2 linked regions of the Oreochromis niloticus genome follow. The protein of the gene in region 1 interacts with the protein of each later gene in a pairwise test. Links are inferred from orthologs where the notes say so. Each region holds a gene or a part of one and is shown in the gene's direction. Other genes may lie near its edges.

Region 1 (10,198 bases):
ACACATCTGAAAGCATATTGATTTGCTCTCCTGATATTTAGACTGTAGTATTGATATTTTAACCTTTTTTAGGACACATAACAAATAACACATATTAAATTTTCTTGGAAGCACCTCTAAGGCTTGATAGAGGCAGAGCTACTGCCGGTTGTTTCTTTGTTTTCTTTCTGTCTTTATGTTAAGCTAAGCCAGCGAGGTGCTGGCTAACCTGGAATAAACTCCATTACAGACACACACAGATAGCAAAAGACCTGATGGTCAAGCAGTCATTCCTGTTATACTTATTTGAAATCCACTTGTGTGGCTTCATACTGTTTGATCTTGGAGTGAGACACAAATCAGTCAGGAAGTGTATCTGGTATAAAAATCTGCTAAATCAAAACATGCAGACCTATTTGCCCTAGCAACCCCTTGTGAATAAGGGAGCAGCCAAAGTCCACTTGAAGTCTGCTGCCTGGGGCACATGCATAGCTGGTGCATTGTAATGTAAATTCTTGCACAGTTATAAAAAACAGACAGGGAGGCAAGCATCCGTACATAATCTTGCAACAATTATTTCTTTGGTTGTGAATTCTTCCTAAACCATCAGGAGTTGAACAACCTTAGTTGTATCAGATATTATGACACAATCACATTGCCTAGAAGTCAACAAGCATTTACGCACCCCAGTGCATAAATTTTAATTTTAATTTCACAGCCAGCAGCAAAAACAGGCCAAACAATTATGTAGCATGAGCGTATCCTTGTACATGTAAATTTAACAGCCTGAGAGAAAGACTCAAATCAATCTTCTCCATAAATCTTTGTGTTTGTGTGTTTATATGAGCATGTTGCTCTAGTGTACACGGGAATTATTATAGGAACTGTAGGAACCTTTAGAATACTGTATGGTTGACATCAGGCTGGATAACATCCAACGCAGCCTGTCCAGTAACATATAAATACATACACACTTAAAGAGGCACACGCTCAGGTAAACAACCCTCGTCAACCTCTCCAGCTGTCTTTCCAGGACACTTGACTTGCACACCTCATCTGTTTCCACAAACCACAAACGGTTCCAGCGGAAATACTCAGTTAAAGCGGTAAACAAGCGCTTCCTCTCAGGGATAAGTCATAGATGCAGAGGGCCCTGACGCTGGTGTCGTGATGCTTGGAACACGCCTACACTGACACAACTTTGAGGTCCGTCGCCGGGTTTTAATCACGCACGTCTCAGTGGCCAGAGACAAACAGTGAGAGTGCACCATTGTAATTTTGTGGCATCAATACACTTGAATCACTCCCAGACAGTTTTATCCCCTCAAGGAGCAGAAACAGAAGCAAACAGTCATAGGAGATCAAAGTGAAGAGTAATGAAAGACAAGAGTTTGCCTGGCAAATATACAATGAGACAGCCCTCTTAGTCACATCTGCATGTGAAAGGTAATGCTGACAAATGATTTTTGTCTCACTAAAGGATTTGATGACGACTCCTCTCACATCCCATTAATTATGATCAGCCGACACTGTGGCAAAAGTCATTTTACTGTTAGTCAATAAGCGCTCTGTGTCACTGGCATTACTGAGATAAATACAGCTGCTGGGAGGGAGGGGGTATAGTAGGATACATAAACAGGATGCATTCAAGATATTTGACTGGTGTTAAGTTAAGGATGTGGATATACATTGGACAGTTTCTAGGCCTTCAGCGCGACATGGGGCCCCTCTTACATAACAGTGTAGCTGACACTGTAGACTTTAAGTAGACTGTAAATAAAAAAGAGACTAATGGCAGGAATATCCGTGAACGACCGGCACTGGCTACAGCGAGGAGCTAGCAAAGCAGCACAAAAGAGGAATCCTATTATTATTTCATCATTTTCACACATTTTAGACATTTTCAGTTCACAATACTCATTAAATACATTTCCCTACATGGAAAAAAGAAAAAAAAAAGTAGACTGTAGCAGTCAGATGCATGGCACTTATAAGGAATATTCAAATCCATTGATGCTTTTCCATTGTTTTGGTTTCAATACAAATTTAAACATGTTTGGCAAGATCGGACGCAGCAGAAATGAAACACAACCAAACCTACATCCATTTTAGTCGTAGTAGTAAGTAGTAGCTGGGACCTAGCCCAGCTGTCATGAGTACACCCTGGACAGATTGCCAGTCTATCACAGGGCTAACATAGAGACAGGATGCCATCCACACCTATGACCAACTTAGAATTGCCAGTTAAGCTAACATGTATATTTCTGAGTGTGAGGGGGAACCTGGAGAACATGCGGACTCCACCCCGTCACATATTCAGAGCCTGGTGTTCATATGTTGACAGGGACTGGAAAAAATAATCTTACGAAACAATCTTTTCAAGCAACTGAACCAAAACCTCCAAGTAAGCACATTTTTTTGCTGTTTGTGCTGTCTGCAGCTCATAAACTCGCTGATGTATCACACAGATACACAAACACCTACACACGAGACTCTCTTATTACATTCAGAGCTGGAAGTGACCCACAGCGCTCGCCTTGTTCTGTCAGTCACTGTGAGGTCGACTCTCCCTGCCAAACAGCAGCTTGCACATCACTTTCCCTGCAGCCCTCCTGGTATCAGCACACTGAAGCCACTGGCCAGCAACTTCCTGACGCTGACGTTGTTGGTGTTCCATATCGCTCTGACTCATTAGAACCGTGCAGATTTCCCATGACATTTGTGTAACAGCCGAGCTGAGTGTCTTCTAAGTCCAGTTTACTGTGCTTTTAGGCAGTAAATGCTTCTGAAATGAAATAATATTGGGTTTATGTGTACACACGCCACACAATGGCTCATGGTGGCAGTTGTATAAATGTTTTGGTTCATGATTTTGCTTGAACAGCTTGTTATTCAGGATGTCAACTTCAAGTTCAGTTGGAGGGGGGCACCAAATTACGCACAGAGATTACCTTTCTCATTTTTAATGTCTTTAAACAGAAAAAAACCATCATTAAGTGACACCCTGCTGTAAAGAAAACAAGAGCGACTGCATGCTTCATACCTACAACTTGACGGCAACACCGCACCCCCTGCTGAGTACACATGAATGTCTGCCAACAATAACTCATGAGGGTGCCAAAAAACAAAAAAAACAAAACAAAAATCACATGCACTTTATGTACCACCCTGTTTTCACTCCAGATTGAACTGGACCACCCTGGTGCTTAAGTCTACTAACACTTCAAGTGTTCGCCATCAAATCATCGCAGGTACTCTGTAATAAGACGGCTTCCATTTCCCTTTGGGGAGCGATGTCTTTTTTATGACATGGAAACTAAACGCGTTACATAGTTGGAAAAGCCGTTTCGTGAATCTGGGTGGAAGAAAGGGGAAATACCGCCAAATGAGAGTTTGTTTAGTTAGCATGACAAAATTCCTTCCACTTCCTGAAATGAAAATAGCCACATCTGTAAAAGTTCATTTGAACCAAAACGATGATAATGAAGCATTTAAAACAAAAACAAAAAAAGATCTTTGTACACAAATACATAAACTGAAGAGAGTCACAGTGTGACACAAAGAAAAAAAGTAATTAAAACTGTTTTTAAGACAGGGTAAAGGTCTTTGGCAGAGGGAAATACATATGAAGATGGAAAATGTTGTAAATCGATCCACTAAAAAATAAAGTGCAGAAGCATATGGGGTGCTGGATGGAGCACAGGAAAAACTCTGAGTCGGTGTAGGTAGCAGATTTACAGGGTGGCATACAGTGGGACATATAAGTGAGCGCGTGCATCTAAATGCATGAATTTGCCTTTGTAGGCTGCCTTGATTCAACGACATGATTTTCCTGTGTTTTTCCTTACTTTCCCAATTTCAAAATGTCTTTCAAAAATACAAAAATAAAGCACCTTTATTGTACCACTTATACGCTAAAGGGCACAAATGCTTTCCACTGGGACGCTACTCTCTGTTTGTTAGCAGCCATGTTGTTTCTATCAATCCTGATAATTTTATACCTCAGCATAAATTTGGTTGGGATACAGTCGATGTTCTCGACTGTCTGTTTGAGCTGTCCAGTTATATAATACTAAGGCAAGTTCCTTATTCCAGCAGGGTTATTGCTGAGAGTATGTTACATTTTTTTTCTTTATATTATTATTATTAGTAGTAGTAGTAAGCTGCTAATGTATTAATATTATACTGTAATATTATAGATAAAGCTTCCCGGCAGTATATAATTACCAGCTATGGAGAGATTTTGTGTCAGCCAAATGTTATTACCACAGTTGCACAAAGGGGTAATAAATGGATGAAGTGACTGTATCAGTATACATACAGAAGTGATGATATTTTACATGATGTGCAGATAACTGCAGATAAGAATACAGGTGTGCCTTAAATCTATCCACGCCCTTTAGTGTGGCTTTGGCACCAAATGTTTTGAAAGAACCACCCAGAAGAAAGGGGAAACACCTCCACTGAGACAGTCTGTTTAATTCGAACAATAAAATCATTTCACTTCCTGAAATGAAAAACAAAACATGACTTTTGTAAAACTGATGGTTCATTTGAGTTGCCGCTGATTGTAAGACAACATAAAAAGACTCAATCAGCACTAATTCAGCATAAATAAAGGACAAAAATAAATAACAGACCCAAGACTCTGCTATAACTTCATAGTGATGCTACTAGAATACAATGTATTTATGATATTCTTTGATTTTCATGCAACAGCCTCCATCAGCCACAGAGCAACTTCGTTACATAGTCACCAATTGGCAATGCTAAAAAATGATAACTACAATGCCATTTGCCCTCTCCATTATTGATGGGTTTTAGGGGTCCAGACCTGCCTAAAAATGTGAATTGAGCCCTCTGAGCTGATTCTACAACCATTAATTAAATCAAGTCAGAAAGTTTGGTAATGAAAAAGTAAACACCCATGATGCCATAAAGCTGCGATGTAAGTTATTGCAGCACAAGCTGAAGTTAATTATTTGGTTAGCTGTAGTTTAGCGCTTCTGCAGCAATAGCAGTAACCAGCATGATGGAGAAGGGCACTGACGTTGGAACAGATGGCTCTGTGGAGGTTACAGTTTGGAAAGTACCTTGTATGTCGTTTTGGAGCTAAAAACAGGTCATTCATCTGGTTGTGCAACTACTCTATATGGACACACGTACTGGGCCACACCTCTTTCGAATTCAGATGTGCTCAGTCCCATTGCCACAGGTGTATAAAGCAATTCTGACTGCTTTTACAACATTTGTGCAAGAATAGGTCATTACAAAGATTTACTGAATTTTGTGTGATCAAGTATAAGTCATATCAGTAAAAAGTCAAAGCGTTAAGGTATCATAGCAGCTGTGAAGTTACAAGTGCTCTGGCGCATAGTGCAGAGTTGCATACCTCCTGTGGCATTAATATTAGCACAAAAGCTGTGCACCAAGAAATTTGTGGTATTCATAGGTTTCCAAGGAGAGGCAGTTCCTAAAAGTGTAATGTGTAGGTGGCCAAGAACTGTTGCTTTCTTGTGTGGCAAAAGAGCTAATTAAATTCATCTGACATTAAATATTTAAATATACAGTATATTATGCATTTAAAGGAGATCTGACGGTATTTCAGATGAGATACATGCTCTTTTCTGAGTATAATGAGAATACAGGTGTGCCTGAACGTTTTGGCTCGCCTTGCGATGTACCTTTAGCACAAAATGCTTTAAAAGAACCACCCACAAGACGTGGAAAACATCTGCAAAGAGTATGTTTGTTTAGATAGCATAATAAAATGCTTTCTGCTTCCTCAACTGAAAAGACAGGGGTGACGTCTGTAAATCACAAGTTAATTGATATGATTGCTAAAAAAAAGGACGGGACACACTGGAGAGATTATGTCTTATGTCTATGATGGATTGACAAAAGCAAGGTGTTGTGGGTGCACGTGCCACCCCATTGAAAAAATCCTGGAAACGTCCCTGATCCAGACCTCCTTTTCCTTTCCTTCACCCACAGAGAAGGTGGGAAGATTTGGTTGTTCTTACAGATAACACTGTTTTCTACTGCAGATACATTCACTGACATGTGGTTTTACATCACTTCTGTGTTCCCAGCTATATCACAGCAAACAGTAGCCTAGAGGCGGTCAAAAAATATTAGCTACTGCACGTTAGAGAGCCTCTCTTAGAATTTTTTTGTGAACCCGCAGAAGGTTATGCAATATTTTTAAGTAATCTTGTCTTATTTGGTGTGCACAGTCGATAAGGATTACCCTGCTCGCTCACTCACTCACTCTCCCTTATAATCCGCTGATGATGACGTTATACTGCAGTTCCTGGGCTTCAGATCTCGCGAGGTTACGGGAAACAATCCAGACGCGCTCTCTCTCTCTCTCTCTCTCTCTCACTCTCAGTTCCCCCTCCTCCCCAGCCCTCCCTTCCCACGCCCCACTGCGCTGTGGGATAGTGGCACTATAAAGTATATCCTCTCTCGGCGAAAGATAAGAAGCCCGAGACAGGAGGGGGATGAAGATGGCGGACGCCAAGCAGAAGCGGAATGAACAGTTAAAGCGATGGCTTGGCTCGGAAACGGACCAGGAGCCTCCTGTTTTGAAAAAGAAAAAGACGAAGGTGAAGTTCGATGATGGCGCCGTGTTTCTGGCCGCCTGTTCGAGCGGCGATACCGAGGAGGTGCTCCGAATGCTTGACCGGGGCGCTGACATCAACTACGCCAATGTAGACGGTCTCACCGCCCTCCACCAGGTTTGTGTTGGCCTGCCGTGTGTGTTTATGTCAGCAGCTGGTACCATTAGACATAAATATCGACTGGCTGCTAGCAAAAGCTTACCCTGGTACACCTGTCAAATGGAAGCCATTCTCATCCCGTTGTTTACCTACCTAGCATACTCGTCCTTCTCGAAGCAGAGAAGGGATGAACCCGTTGGCTTCCTCCTGAGGCTGTTTAATTGGTAAACCGCGCTAACTATGCATACACTTGCCTGAGTATAAGTGGCAAGAAGCAGCAAAGTCAAACACCTAATTTCCAGGGCTAATTCTACTTCATGCCTCCATAAACTAGCCTGAGTCTGTAGGTGCAGTCTAATTGCAGTACTGCTGCATTTTTCGGGTTGAAACATTGGCTCGGTTTTATGTTGTAAATGCAATCAAGCCAGACAAGCACCTAGTGTCTGTGTGGTCCATTGATTATTTTCGGATCCTACTTAGTGTGTTTGGAGCTTAATATAAATGATGTTCATGCAGAATGAACCCAGCAATAGATGGCTGCTACCTGGTTAGCAGTAAAAGTCGTTTTGTTGATAAACCCTCCCCGACTGTGGCTACTCTCTGGAGAGGAAGCAGAAGCTACCTCGCTAACTAGCTTCAGATACAACGTCATTCAGATACAGGCTAATGTTACGATTGCAAAACAATGATTGCTTGTCACTCTAACTTAAAAAATGCATCCCCTCATAAATATTGGGCATATTAGTTTAATTGCCAGGAAAGAGTGAATGGTAACAGCGCAGTATTAGCCCAGCGGATTGTCTGCTAACGTACTTTAGCATGCTAAGATAAATGTCGTTAGCTGTGTGGGGCTTTAGCTGAAGTTAATTCATTCATTAACTGACCGGAGAAACGGCGTCAGCGGTAAATTATGGGCCTCATAATTTTATGCTGTTTTGTGTATAGTTAATCGGAAACGGCTGTGTCGTTAGCGCTTTTGCTACACCGGGATGTTAGCCGTGCCAAGCTAGTCATTTGCCCGCTAACTGGGGTAGCTACTTTGACTAGCATCAGTACTTCCACAGCCGATAAACTGAAAATGGCACCTCATCTTGATGGGTTTTAGGCGGTATGAGGTAGTTTCAGTCCAAATGGGTTAAAAGCCTGATTTGAAAGCTTTATAAACCACCATGGATCCAGTGATGGAAGTGGGTTGCTTGTTGGTGCAGTAAGCTTACATAAAGTTGTGACCAGGTTAAGTCCAGTGAGGTGTGCAAAAGCTAGACTAGAATTAAAACTTAAATAACAAAGAACCTGATCGTGTAATTTATGAATTTGTTTCTGTTGCTTCAGATGTAGCTTTTACCATTAAACAAGTACACTTATTTTAAAAACAATAGGATTTAATAACATGTTTTTCAGTTTGTGCTTAATGGATCAAATGATTACGGGTATACTGTTAGCTTTTACAGTGACATTTTCATAAAGAAATCTTGCTTATTTTGTACCAAGAACATTGCAGTTAAGTGTTTTACTATTTGGTGGAAATAAGCAGGGTGAAGGGTTTGGGGGATTTCCCCTTTCTGGACTGCATGTTTCTGCCTCTGATAAATAATTTGTCATTCCCACTGGAAAATAAACTTTTATCCCCCCCCCCTTTCCAGGATTTTTGCAGTGTCTTGAAACAGTCAACAGTGCAAACATCAGTCCAATCAGAAACTGATCTCACTTTCAGTGCTTGTGAGGCTGCTGGGGTGAGATGATCAGGATCTATTCCATTCCAGCTTTTCATTAAGCCAAACTGTAACGTTGGATCTCTGGGTCCAGAGAGTTGCAGAAAAACCTCAGAAATATTGTGTGCCAACCAGTTGCCTCTGTGTTGACATCTGAGGTCTCTCCAAAGGTGATTTGTGCAGCTTCTTCTTTTCTTCTTTCTTCTTGTTGAGTTGCGGCTCGGCACCAGGACTGTTCTCTGCAACATCCTGCAGTCGTTTGTCGCCTTTTGCATGATGGCGCAGCTGCTGTGATAGGCTGATGGAGAGGGGTAGAAGCATTTTGTTTAAAAAGATCAACCTTAACCTGATCTTCGTTCACAAGTTAGAACATGCTGTCGAACATATTACAGAGTCAGATAATTTCCACATATTTATTAACACTCAAACTGGAAAGTGTGCTGCTGATCTCAGAAAATGAAGTCTCCTTCCCTTTACAGAGACTTTATGGATTCGGGTAAAAGAGGGTGATGTGTTTTACATTTGGGGTTATTTCAAATTAATCATTAAAGCTATGAAGCTAACATCCTCTGAAGAGGGAAACGGTGGTTGCCCCTCTATATATTTTTTTTATTTTTCTCTCCCTGCATATTGCATCCTGGATATCAGTATTTTAATTTGAAGAAATAAAGGATAATGCTGGTGGAAACGAGCATTTGTTTATCTTGTTTGCACTAGTGTGGATAGTGTTTACATGATGTAAGGATGTACAAAACTATTCACATTAAATGTTTTATACTTGCATAGATCTCCTGTGATGTCACTTCATTACTCATGTCCACATGTCTCGTCTTAGTAATTATGAGCACTGCTTTATGCACCACCTTGCTCCCATGGTGTGTTTGTTCTCCAAGACTTACGCCACTGCACAGATTAAAAGTTTTAAAAGCAGGTTTTAAGGCATGGGTCATCAGCTTTATCCGTATGTGATTTCATGTATGTGAATAGTTTTTTTTTGCATTAATTAATCCTGCTGGTAAATTAACCTTTCTTCAAGCTCGTAGTCTGCTTTAATGAAATCTGGAATTAGCATGAGCCCCTCCATGCAAACTCATTGGGTGGAAACGTTGCCTTTTTTTGGGCTGATGTCCAGAGATGAGCTTGAGTGAGGAAAGAATTTGAAGTGCCGCTCTCCGGACATAACCATCTCTGGAGACGAGGGGCTGCTCTGTGTGTGTGTTAAAGGCCATGTGATCTCTAGGTTTGGTGTTTTACCGAGGGGTGATGGAGGGATTTGTGATTAAAGGGTGAATCCCAGGTTAAACTGCTGTTAATTTTCTTGAAGATGAGCTGAACAGTCAGTAGCCTCTTTTGTCTTAATGTCTTTGTGTGGCTTTTCTTGTTGAATTTTAGACAGACCAAAAAAAAAAATCCCTCCAGAGAATATCTATCCTGGTGAATGAGTGACCTCTATCTTTGTTATGAAATGTGCCATGTTGCTGCATGAGGACTCGATCACTGGTGACCGGTGCAGCCAACACAAGTTCCTCTAACTGGGTTTCAGTAGATGATACTAAGTTTGGGTATGACTCAGTCTGTAGCTTTGCTTTGTAGTTCAGCTCTAGTATAATCCCACATTTAGGCAAGAGGTCGTCTCTGTGAGTCATGAACCGTCATGAACCTTGTTTCTTTAAAAATGACCTGTTGCTGATGAACCTGTAAACACGTCAATGTCTTTTTGCAGACCTCTTAAGGCGTGTGTAAGGTGATGCTTGACCAGTGATGACGATGATCAATGATGTCACT
Region 2 (10,093 bases), about 9.5 Mb from region 1:
AAGAGGATCGTCCAGTCTTTAACAGAAACTTTGTATGTAATTTCCAAACTTGACCCATTCAATCACAAAGCAGACTGACTCTGTGTTATTCCCATCTTATTACATCAAAGTTGCTCTGAAAGTAGCAACTGCAGATCTGGTCACAGTCATTGAAGTAACCATTTCAAAGGCATAGCCAGATTGTAAGTTATTATACACTGGGTCAATAGACTCTTCCAGATTAGCTTAATCTTTCAGTTCTTCAGGTTACTCCACAAAATAGCACAGCTGGTATATAGGACAGGTTGGACCGTCTATACAGGGGTGTCGAACTCCAGGCCTCGAGTGCCGGTGTCCTGCAGGTTTTAGATGTGTCCTTGATCTAACACAGCTGATTCAAATGGCTAAATTACCTCCTCAACATGTTTTGAAGATCTCCAGAGGCCTGGACATGAACTAATCATTTGAGGTGTGTTGACCCAGGGTGAGATCTAAAACCTGCAGGACGCCGGCACTCGAGCCCTGGTCTATACAGAGGATGGGCTATCTATACACCTGCTAGTGGTTTACCTTGGAAAACATGGCAGATAGTTACCCCCAAAAAGGAGAAAGATGGGTCGTAGAACGAACTGACAAAAGAAAAAGCAAGCACCAAAATAAAACATGGTAATTGTAACAGAAAGACACAGGACCAAAACTGACGGTCACATGAACCCTCCATAAGTCAACAATTTGTTATTTAACTGAAAAATCTATGAGGATTGCAAGCATATTTGTTACAGTTTAGACAGAGTGGCTAGTTTTAGTTTGGACACACTGGAATTGTATCCATTTTCCCCCCTACTCTTGGTGAGAAAGCAAATCAGATTTTTAAATTATTTGTAATCTTGATATTTGTTCTGAGATTTCTTGTAACATGTAATTTAGAATATTAGGAGACCCCATAGACCACTAGATGGGGCTTTTAAGTTGCCCTTCACCATGTGAATACTGTTTATATATTCATAAAGTAGTGATGGCATCTCTCACACACAAAGTTTCCTTTTAATACATTTATACACCCTAATCTTTGTGTTGGAAATTAAAGCTGCGAGATTAAAGTCACTTTTTTGCTCTTCAACATTTAAAGCACACAGATACACATTGGCTTTAATTCCTCTCAGTACTCATTCTTCCTCAGCTGTGGTCATTTTGAACCCTGAAACCAGTTTTTCCAATGATCACTTCCAAGTGGCCAAAGGATCAAAGAGGCCTCGCCTTAGAGGAATGCAAGAAAAATAAGCGTGGCTCTTATTTATAGGCACCTGGGGCCCAGCCAAAATGGTGGGCTCAATTAGTGGTAGAGCAGCATTTTAACTCATTTGATGGATGATGCTTTTAGTGTTGGTATTGGGTGGCTATCACTTAATTCGCTGTAATTGATACCAAAAGCCCAGTAGCTGCATTGGTCAGCTGAATAAATGCAACCAGACAAATTTTCCCCTCTTCCACTTTCCTCCCGCTGGTTTTCGAGGTTTGGTGCATGTGAAGCTGATTGAAAGTGCCAAGGTATGAAATATATGTCAGTGTAATTCTGCAATATCTTTGGATGATATAACAATTTCCAAAAATGGAAATAAATGGAAAATATAGTTTTCTGCATGGCAAAAGTAATATTACCTGCTTGTGGTGGCCTTAATTCCTTAATGCTGATTCAGTTGCTGATTTTGAATCGGTTTCCTTTCCTTCCTCAGAAATGCGAATGTGCCATTGGATCACAACAAATGACATTCCCTCTTACATACCCTCTTCTGGATTTTTCTCCGCCTGTTTTTCCTTGGTGGCACTGCAGTGGTGTGGAATACCACACAATCATTTCTGTGGCTTGGCCCCGTTTCTCAACGAACAACTTGGACTCACCTGCTTGTTTCTAATTACATGGCTCAGCTCCCTCTACAGTTTTTGAGGTCGTGTTGTAAAAGCACCACTGTCTTCACGTTAGGGGAACCCTCACCCACTTGATTCTAGGGTTTGGAATCAGGGTTTGGCCTCTTTTTAAGGCGCCCATTGCTCGGTTTACCATAGAGGTCTATGGGACTATTCAGGTGTTGCCAGGTTCCTCTTGCTCAAGGCGGCTGTGGGGCTTTAGTTAAAGTCTTTTTATATGATGTCTTTTGAATTCTGTATCAGTCACACATCTCCCTCAGATTGCATTACAGATCCCACTTTTTCCTCGCATATTGTCTCTTACTGATGGCTCCTCTCTGTCACACTTAGGTCCGACAGTATCACAGCCACTCAGTCGCTGTGATGTCCTAAGGCCTGCCAGCCATGTGACACCAACTGTGTTTTTAACCTCATCAGCCCAACCGCCATCTCTCTGCCAACCTTCAGAGACTGTGCTGAAGTGGAGGGTAAGGCAAAGTGGAGCAAAAATCAATTTCATCTATGTTTGAAACCGTGTGTGTCTCTGGTGTCTGGTATCATATTATTAAAGAAGTAGGAACTTTAATCCAGGAAATTATTTGCAAGCATTATGACTCTGCTAAAGATAACATTTGTCTCAACCTGCAGAACAGTTATTAAATCATAATGTAAAAATGTGTGTGAAACACTGAATGCACATTGTGGTTTGCTTTTTTAGTCTATTAAAAACCTTAAACCATCTTTTTGCATTACAAATAGTTATACTCAGGACAGCTTTAGAGGTTAACCCTAAAGGTGCCACTGGTGTTTCTTTGAGAACCTGGAAGCAGATGACCACTTCTCTTTCGATGTGGTGAAGTACTTACAGTAAAGAGAGTTATGGTTACAAATGGCAGTCAGTTTTCTATAATATAGTTTTTTTTAATCAACTGTGCATTTATGGTCTATTTTTACATTTAGATACTATATAAACTGAAAACTTACTCATTCAAATCTGTCACTAATCACTCAGGTAAAATCCAGCAGATGAATCTTATAACTGGTCCCAAGGACTTTGTGTTGAAGGTGGCTTTGAAACCATCCAGGCCTTCATCTCTGAATTCTGCTTCTGAGGTGAGATTAAAAAAAAAGCAAAAAAAAAAGCTGTTGACCACAAGATTAAAAGCGCTAGCAGGTTACTATAGTAATGGGTCCTGGCATTTTTGACACAAACCACCTAAACACTGCTGCGTACCAAGCATTCACCTCCATTGCAAAAACATTCCCCAACAGGAAAATGTGGTCCACTGAGCCTTGAAAAATACTTGCAAATGGCTTGATAACATACTGAATTAACACTTTACAGTCTCTGAACATGAGCTATTATGAGCTCTTCCATTTTTTAAAGTGGTCTTGAGCAACAGTTTTCCCTTGGCTCAGCACGGTGTGCAGTGGGTCCTTAGAGCAGAGAGTGGAGTACGTTGTCAACTAAAGCTAGCAAGTTTAGTTAGCAAGTCACAGGGGGCTTGTTCAAATTCAATAGAATAAGATATAAAGCATTCTTTCTTCTTCTTCTTCTTTTGTCCTTAGCTTGCGATTGGCAGGGGAGGTTGTCCACGTAGCCAATAAGTCGCTGTGGATGCCGTGGGGTTTCCAGCTTGATCAACGATGCACTTACAGGCCTTGTGGTCTCTTGCCTTCACCTTTGCTTGCTTGAGGGTTAGACGTTGTTGTTTAAGATCATCTTCAATTTCCTTGATCCAAGTCTTCTTGGAGGTCTCTCATCACTCTCACTCTGATGTTGCTGCATCAAAAGGCGGTATGGCAGGCGATGGTTGCTCCTGCGGCAGATGTGGCCAAACCATTGCAGTCGTTGCTTCCTAATCAGCTCTTCCATTGAGGCCTGCTGGTGACATTGACTACTTATCACACGTTGCTGAGACTATCACGGAGGGACACTCGGAGAATCTGACGCAAACAGCGCGTTTGGAAGACCTCGAGCTTGTTGAGGTCGTGTTTGAGGATGACCCAGGTCTCCGACTCATAGAGAAGAATGGGGAATACCAGTGTATGGTACAGGCGGATTTTGACCAATTCTTGAATTTAAGAATTCAAGAATATAAAGCATTAAAACACATTAAAAAGACAACAGCCGTAATGAACACAGTGCAGTTTGAACCCACAAGCAGGGTTTTATATGTCATCATTTTACAACTGGATACCCAGAGATAGTAGCTAATATGAGCTTTGTGCGAAGTACTTCTTGGATTAGGTGTTTACACAATAAACTGCACAGAAATCCATATAATTTTACAGACACTGATTTAAAAAAAAGGCTCCAACACCACAAATATGCTAGAGAAGTCCACTTGAGTGACCCCAGTTAGCAGAGGTGATGTCTAACAGGACATGAATGGGCACAAATGTCCCTCAATCAGTCGCAGCAGATGGCTGTGTTACGTTCCCCGTAACAGGCTGCTCTTGCCCCTTCTACAGCCTGGTTCTGCTGGAGACTGCTTCTGGTTAAAAGGGAGTTTTTCCTTCCCGTTGTTGCCAAGTGCTTTTTCATAGGGGGTCACCTGAGGGGTTTCTCTTTGCATTACTGTAGCTGTCTTTACTTTCCTGTCTTTACCTTACAATATCAAGTGCCTTAAGGAAACTGTTTTGTGTTGTCTTAACACTACAGTATCCTAAATACTTTTACTTTTGTTTCATGTATGTCACATAGCAGAGATTTTCTTTAATTCAAAGCAGCAAACAACTATTCAACCGCAGCCTTTCACTCAAAACCAGAAATTAGAGCACTCAGGGGGATGAAAATGAGAAGGTTACATAATGTTGAGTCCATGAATGTCTGAATTGAAGCACTTCTTCACAGAGCCACACTTCACGCATGGCTGAAAATGTTCGCACCACAAATGAATTTCTCCTTTGTTAGCACTGTGCCAGATGTGTTGAAACATGGATTTTACAAGAGTGGAATGAAACAGGCTCTGGTATTAGACCATCAGGGTGCAAATAAACATTTATAATTTCCTTAACCACTGTGTGCTGTGTTTAGGTTCAGCTCAGTTTGCTGTCGTGAGCACCGCTGTGACAAACTGCTGCTCGACACAAGGAGCCATTTCATTTCTCCTTGCATTTTTCTCTGTCTTGAAAGACCAAATAGACATGCTTCACTTGGTATTAAAGTGTTTCATTTAACAACGCTGATTGTGTTTTGTACAGACAAAATGTCCGACCATCTGTGAATAATAAAAACTGTGTGTGTGGTTGATTGTCTTGATGTTTTTGTTTTTTCTTTTTCCTAGAGAGCTAGATCGTCTGCCACAGCAGACTAAACCAGCCGTCGTCTAGTTAACATTACTGAGGTTTTCTAGAATGGCTGAACCCTGATAGGATGTCCTGTTTTTCCTGTAACTCAACTCTTCAGATTCCCCGATCATGCCACAGCATTTCCAGTTTGTGAGGATATTTCCAGTTATTCCACTTGAAAAATGAATAATGGGAATTCTATAAAGGGAATGTTTGCTTCTTTCGTTGCCTCATTTTAAGGCTGACAAATTGCTTGAGGTGGACGCTTCCTACCATCCGTAATCAACTCTTCTCAGCAGCGAGCTGCTTTTCACCACTGCTGTGCTGTTCCAGGCCAGTGGAAATACAAGGGACAACCATAATGGATCTGTAATCTAAAATTTGCCACTCTACATGGAAATCACAAAGGCTTGTCTTGCGGCTTTGCAGCTGCAGCTGCAGTAGCTGTTCCATAAACTATCTGGGTTGAATGGATTGACATTTGAACTTTTCAAATGTTGGTTTTGGTGAATGGATTTGAGATGTGAATGCAGCTGCAGCCTATAGCAATTTTAGGGAGGTTATAATGGGTACAAAATTAGACTAGTTTAAATAGAGTTTGGTCTTTCTATTTAAAAAAAAAATTTAGTTAGTTTTCCAAGTTCATAAAATAATTTCAGCTAGTTTTACATTTAAGTCTATTTTTTATTTGTTTTATTTTAGTCAACTAAAATGTTATTTCATATGTATTTTTAGTTTGTACCCTTTTTTTTAGTTAACTAAAATAACCTTGGTCTCCAGAATCTTGATGCCTCTCATCAGTTCTTACTTCTGTCTTTCTCAGTGCTAAGTGCTTAATCAAATCATTACAGTCAAACACAGAATAGTTAAGTGATTTTTACCCACAGTTTTATGCAAAAACACATGAAAATTCATTCTGTAGAGTTTATTTGCAGTCACAGCCTTCATTACAGAGCAGTCTAGGCGACTCTTCACCAAGAAAACAGCAGCACATGCTCAGTCCCCGCCCCCATACTGATTTGAACCAATAACGTCTTAAAGAGTTTTCCGGACGTCCCGCCCACAAGCGTGAAACAGACAAACATGGCAGCTTCCACAGACATCATCTTGGGGACCTCAGCGTCCATCGCTGGCATTTTAAATGAAAAACACGGACCTGAACACTTGCAGACTTTAAAAACATTTACAGCTGCGCTGCGGGATGTCGAATACAGGTGAGGTCTGGGTAATTTATTTATGTTTTATACGGAAATGGGCCGTATCAGTGCCGGTCCGGCTAAGCTAGCATTAACTTGAAAATATCCAACTGTCAACTACGCACTGCCAAATATAACGGCACGCCCGGTTTCTGAAGTCATTCAGACCTAATAATTGTCGCTGTAGCATAAAGAAAACTAGCACATATCCGCAGTATAGCTTAAATACGTGGTTATGTCTAAGTTCGGTTATTGCTGTTTTGTACTAAAAGCAGATTTTTAAGCATTACTGGTAGTTTTTTTTTTCCTGTGCAGAAGCTAACGCTGCTTATTAAAATTTAACGGCCTGTGCACGTGACATTATGCTCCTTTCTGTGGTATTTGTAGCACAGGAGTATCCCGCACATTGGATTCAAATTGTAAACTGCATGTTTATTTTTTTCTTAATGGAAAAAAGACAGTGTTTCACGCAAGACCCAGCTAATGTAGTGCAAACACCGCGTTATTAACTACATCTGTGTTTTATATCTGGTGGTCTCCCAGTGAGGGTACTGCAAATGAAATGAATCCTGTGTACTTGTTCACCTGTTTGTTGTTGTCAGAGATGCTGTGGAGGAGGAGACATTCTCCACTCTTGTGAAAGTCCTGACCAGACTATGTGAAGAGCTGCAGGCTGCCGGCTTGGACAGTGAGGATGTGCAGACTTTTACCCTGCAGCTCCAGCTGACCGCAGAGTGCTTCAGAGCTCAGAGGAACTCCTGTGTCCAGAGTAAACGTAACCAGAGTCTGCTCAGGTATCCCCGACGTCACAAAGCAGCAGGGGGATCTTTCAGAAACATACAAAATAATTAAGTAAACAATGGTCATAGAGTTTAGTGACTGATTTATTTGGAAGCACTGCTAAAAATCCTTCTTGAGCATTTTTCCTGCTAAAATTTGGCTGTTTATGTTTAAGGAACTTGTACAATTATATCTTTACAATTGCAGGATTTGTTGAAGTGCTATTTTTGCAGTTTATAATAATATTATGTCACAGTTTGTTATTGGGTGCCTCCTTTTTATTCTTATACAAAAGAAAAAGACAAAGAAGCACTTGACATAATGTGTCTTTGTCAACTAGGGAACTTGGTTTCATTGATGTATCCCTCAAACTCCTGAGATTTCTGTCAACTGTAAATATGGAGATTCCAGATACCATATTCGAACGTAAGTCTAAAATTCGGCCACTGATGCTTAAGGTACAGTAATTATGTGTTTTTCCTTTGTCCCTTTCAAAGCCAACTAAATTGTTTTGAGTTGAGCTATAGAGGTTGTTAGAGATGGAAGTAGATTGTGCTGTTTTTGTCTTGTGGTGCTCAAATTGTAAAATAATTTATGACGTTGACTAGTCAAAAAAAATTATTATGCCTTTGTGTAGGCAGTTTCATATAAGAACTATTTTCTGTCGACAGTCTACATCTGCCAACCAGAAGAAGTGTGCAGCCAGCTAATATTACAGGGTTCTTTGAGTTTTATAAGAAACCGTGCTGTCTAGTTCTTTTGTATTCAAGAGTAGGCAAAAACTTTTAACAGTCTAGAAGGACATAAACGCAATACATCATGGAGGAAAATGAATGGTGAATGAATCTTGAGTAGTTTTTCTGATTTTTTTGATCTGTTTTCTGTGGCTCAGCTCTTCGCTGTGGCATCCAGTTTCTTGGTAACTTGGCTGTTGGTAACCAGTTGTGCAAAGATGACATTTGGATGATAAGCTTCCCAGACCTTTTCCTGTAAGTTCTGTGTGCCAAAATTTCACCCTGATCTTTCTGTTTGACTCCAAAATCACATGCACATTCTATATTAGTAAATCTGTCCACCCGAACGTATGCAAACAGGCAGCTGCTTAGCACTGACGATGAGAAGACCGTGAACTACACCTCGATGGTAATCCACACATGCCTGGATGAGGCCAAGGTGGAAGATTTGTCCAAGCCACAGAACATTGAGCTGGCTCTCAGGGTGATGGAGCTCTGCAGGACTCAGCCTGAGCTGGACTGGACGTAAGTGCATCATTATGGTACTAACTTGAAAACTGTTGTTATGCATCAAGGGCATACTTAAGTGCTCCTTTCCCTTTGTTATTTATTGATTTTTTTCAGAGTGCTCATTGCAACACAGCATTTCCTGAGGTCTTCGTCACTGGTGGAGAACATGTACTCTGAGATGTCTCACCATGATAGGTACTTCATTTTTGTTGTTTGGATAAAAACATGAACAATTCACTCAAACAGAACTGGTTAAATGTATGCTAGCACCTTTCAGCCTATTATTTTAGTTTTTTGGTTTTTACACTGCATAGAAATGATGCACAGAATAGTAGTAAAAAACAGCTAATATTTAACCTTCTAGGACCTGGCGTCCACATATGTGGACATCACATTTTGGGATGTCTAGACCAAAATACTTAATTTTCTCTACAAGGGCCTGATATCCACTTACAAGGACATTATACAGCCACTGTTCTATCAACATTTAAAATGAATGTCCTCATATGTGGATCTTATTTTTCTCAGAAACAAAAATTAGGTAAAAAAAAAAAAAATCTGGTAATTCTTTGTTTTTACATTCATCAGGTCCCAATCAACCCAAATACCAAAGAACAATTAAAAGTGCATGCCATGAAAGAGTTCGGGTCTTAGGAGGTTAAATGAAAACTATAGATGCTTCATATAGATGTACATTTTGTTTTTCAGAGTTACTTTATTAGAGCTACTTTTAGCCCAGCTAAGAGAGGAGGGCTCAGAAGACTGTGGCATCCCTCCCAGTGTGGCTCGTTTCCTGGCCACTTCCTTCCAGAAAGGTTGTGGAGCTGTTCTCACACTTGCTACGGGTTCTGCGTCCAGTGATGAGGTACAGATCATAAATTCAACACATTTTCTGCAGGTTTTTCACCCTGCGTTTGTTAGCCTTACCCTGTGTGAAATGAATAAACTTATGTTTCAGTCGTTTTGACTCTCAGTATTGTGTCTCAAAAGATTCTTACTCTGTGGACTGCCCCCTGTTTGTTGCAATCCCCTGCAGGTCCTGCAGGAGGCGCTAACAGTGATTAGTCTGCTGGATGTGCTGTGTGAGATGACCTCAGACCACAAGCAGTTCATGTTCCTACAGGATCATCCAGACCTTCTAGTAACTACTGTTGGTAAATGAAAAACAGCCATTAAGTCAACAACCGAGCAACAGCAGACATTAAATTAAACAGCCCGCAAAGTCCAAATGCTGGAAAGTTTGAGGTTTATCATTTAATCTGTTTCTTAAAGGAGAAAAGCAGAATCTCATATGTCAACATCAGCCATAATTTGAATAGCTTTATGCTGCTTCTCAGAAGGTGTTCTGCTTTTCCCGTTGTCTGCCACAAACTGTCTGTCCATGCAGAGCTCCTGGAGCAGGTACACGCCACCGGGAAGGCCAGTAAGAATATTTTCAGTGCTGCTCAGAACTTCTCCTCCTTCAGTGGAGATGGAGACTCTTCTTCTTATTCTCCTGTCATCAGCTTTAAGGCACACCTCATCAGGCTCATAGGAAACCTCTGCCACAGCAATACCAACAACCAGAACAAGGTTTGGACAAATGAATGAGTGGAGGGATGGAAGTTCTGTTAAGTTTGTGGTGGTACTTGATAACAACTGTGACGAAGAGTGAATGAAAATTTTGCTATAAGCCATAATTTCCAGATCAGAGGT

Evidence for each region.
Region 2: the proteins of ppp1r12a (region 1) and atxn10 interact in binary tests that used the Homo sapiens proteins (3 or more experiments, as listed by UniProt). The link is inferred for Oreochromis niloticus from reciprocal best matches to the Homo sapiens genes PPP1R12A and ATXN10.

Annotation. Positions count from the first base shown.
Region 1 is NC_031981.2:15,910,447-15,920,644, forward strand, and holds the start of ppp1r12a (protein phosphatase 1 regulatory subunit 12A), read left to right. Parts: upstream 1-6,371; 5' UTR 6,372-6,482; coding exon 6,483-6,719; intron 6,720-10,198. UniProt on the Homo sapiens protein: Key regulator of protein phosphatase 1C (PPP1C). Mediates binding to myosin. As part of the PPP1C complex, involved in dephosphorylation of PLK1. Capable of inhibiting HIF1AN-dependent suppression of HIF1A activity.
Region 2 is NC_031981.2:6,401,014-6,411,106, forward strand, and holds the start of atxn10 (ataxin-10), read left to right. Parts: upstream 1-6,229; 5' UTR 6,230-6,261; coding exon 6,262-6,392; intron 6,393-6,976; coding exon 6,977-7,168; intron 7,169-7,494; coding exon 7,495-7,580; intron 7,581-8,046; coding exon 8,047-8,143; intron 8,144-8,248; coding exon 8,249-8,413; intron 8,414-8,512; coding exon 8,513-8,593; intron 8,594-9,106; coding exon 9,107-9,263; intron 9,264-9,434; coding exon 9,435-9,552; intron 9,553-9,785; coding exon 9,786-9,970; intron 9,971-10,093. UniProt on the Homo sapiens protein: May play a role in the regulation of cytokinesis. May play a role in signaling by stimulating protein glycosylation. Induces neuritogenesis by activating the Ras-MAP kinase pathway and is necessary for the survival of cerebellar neurons.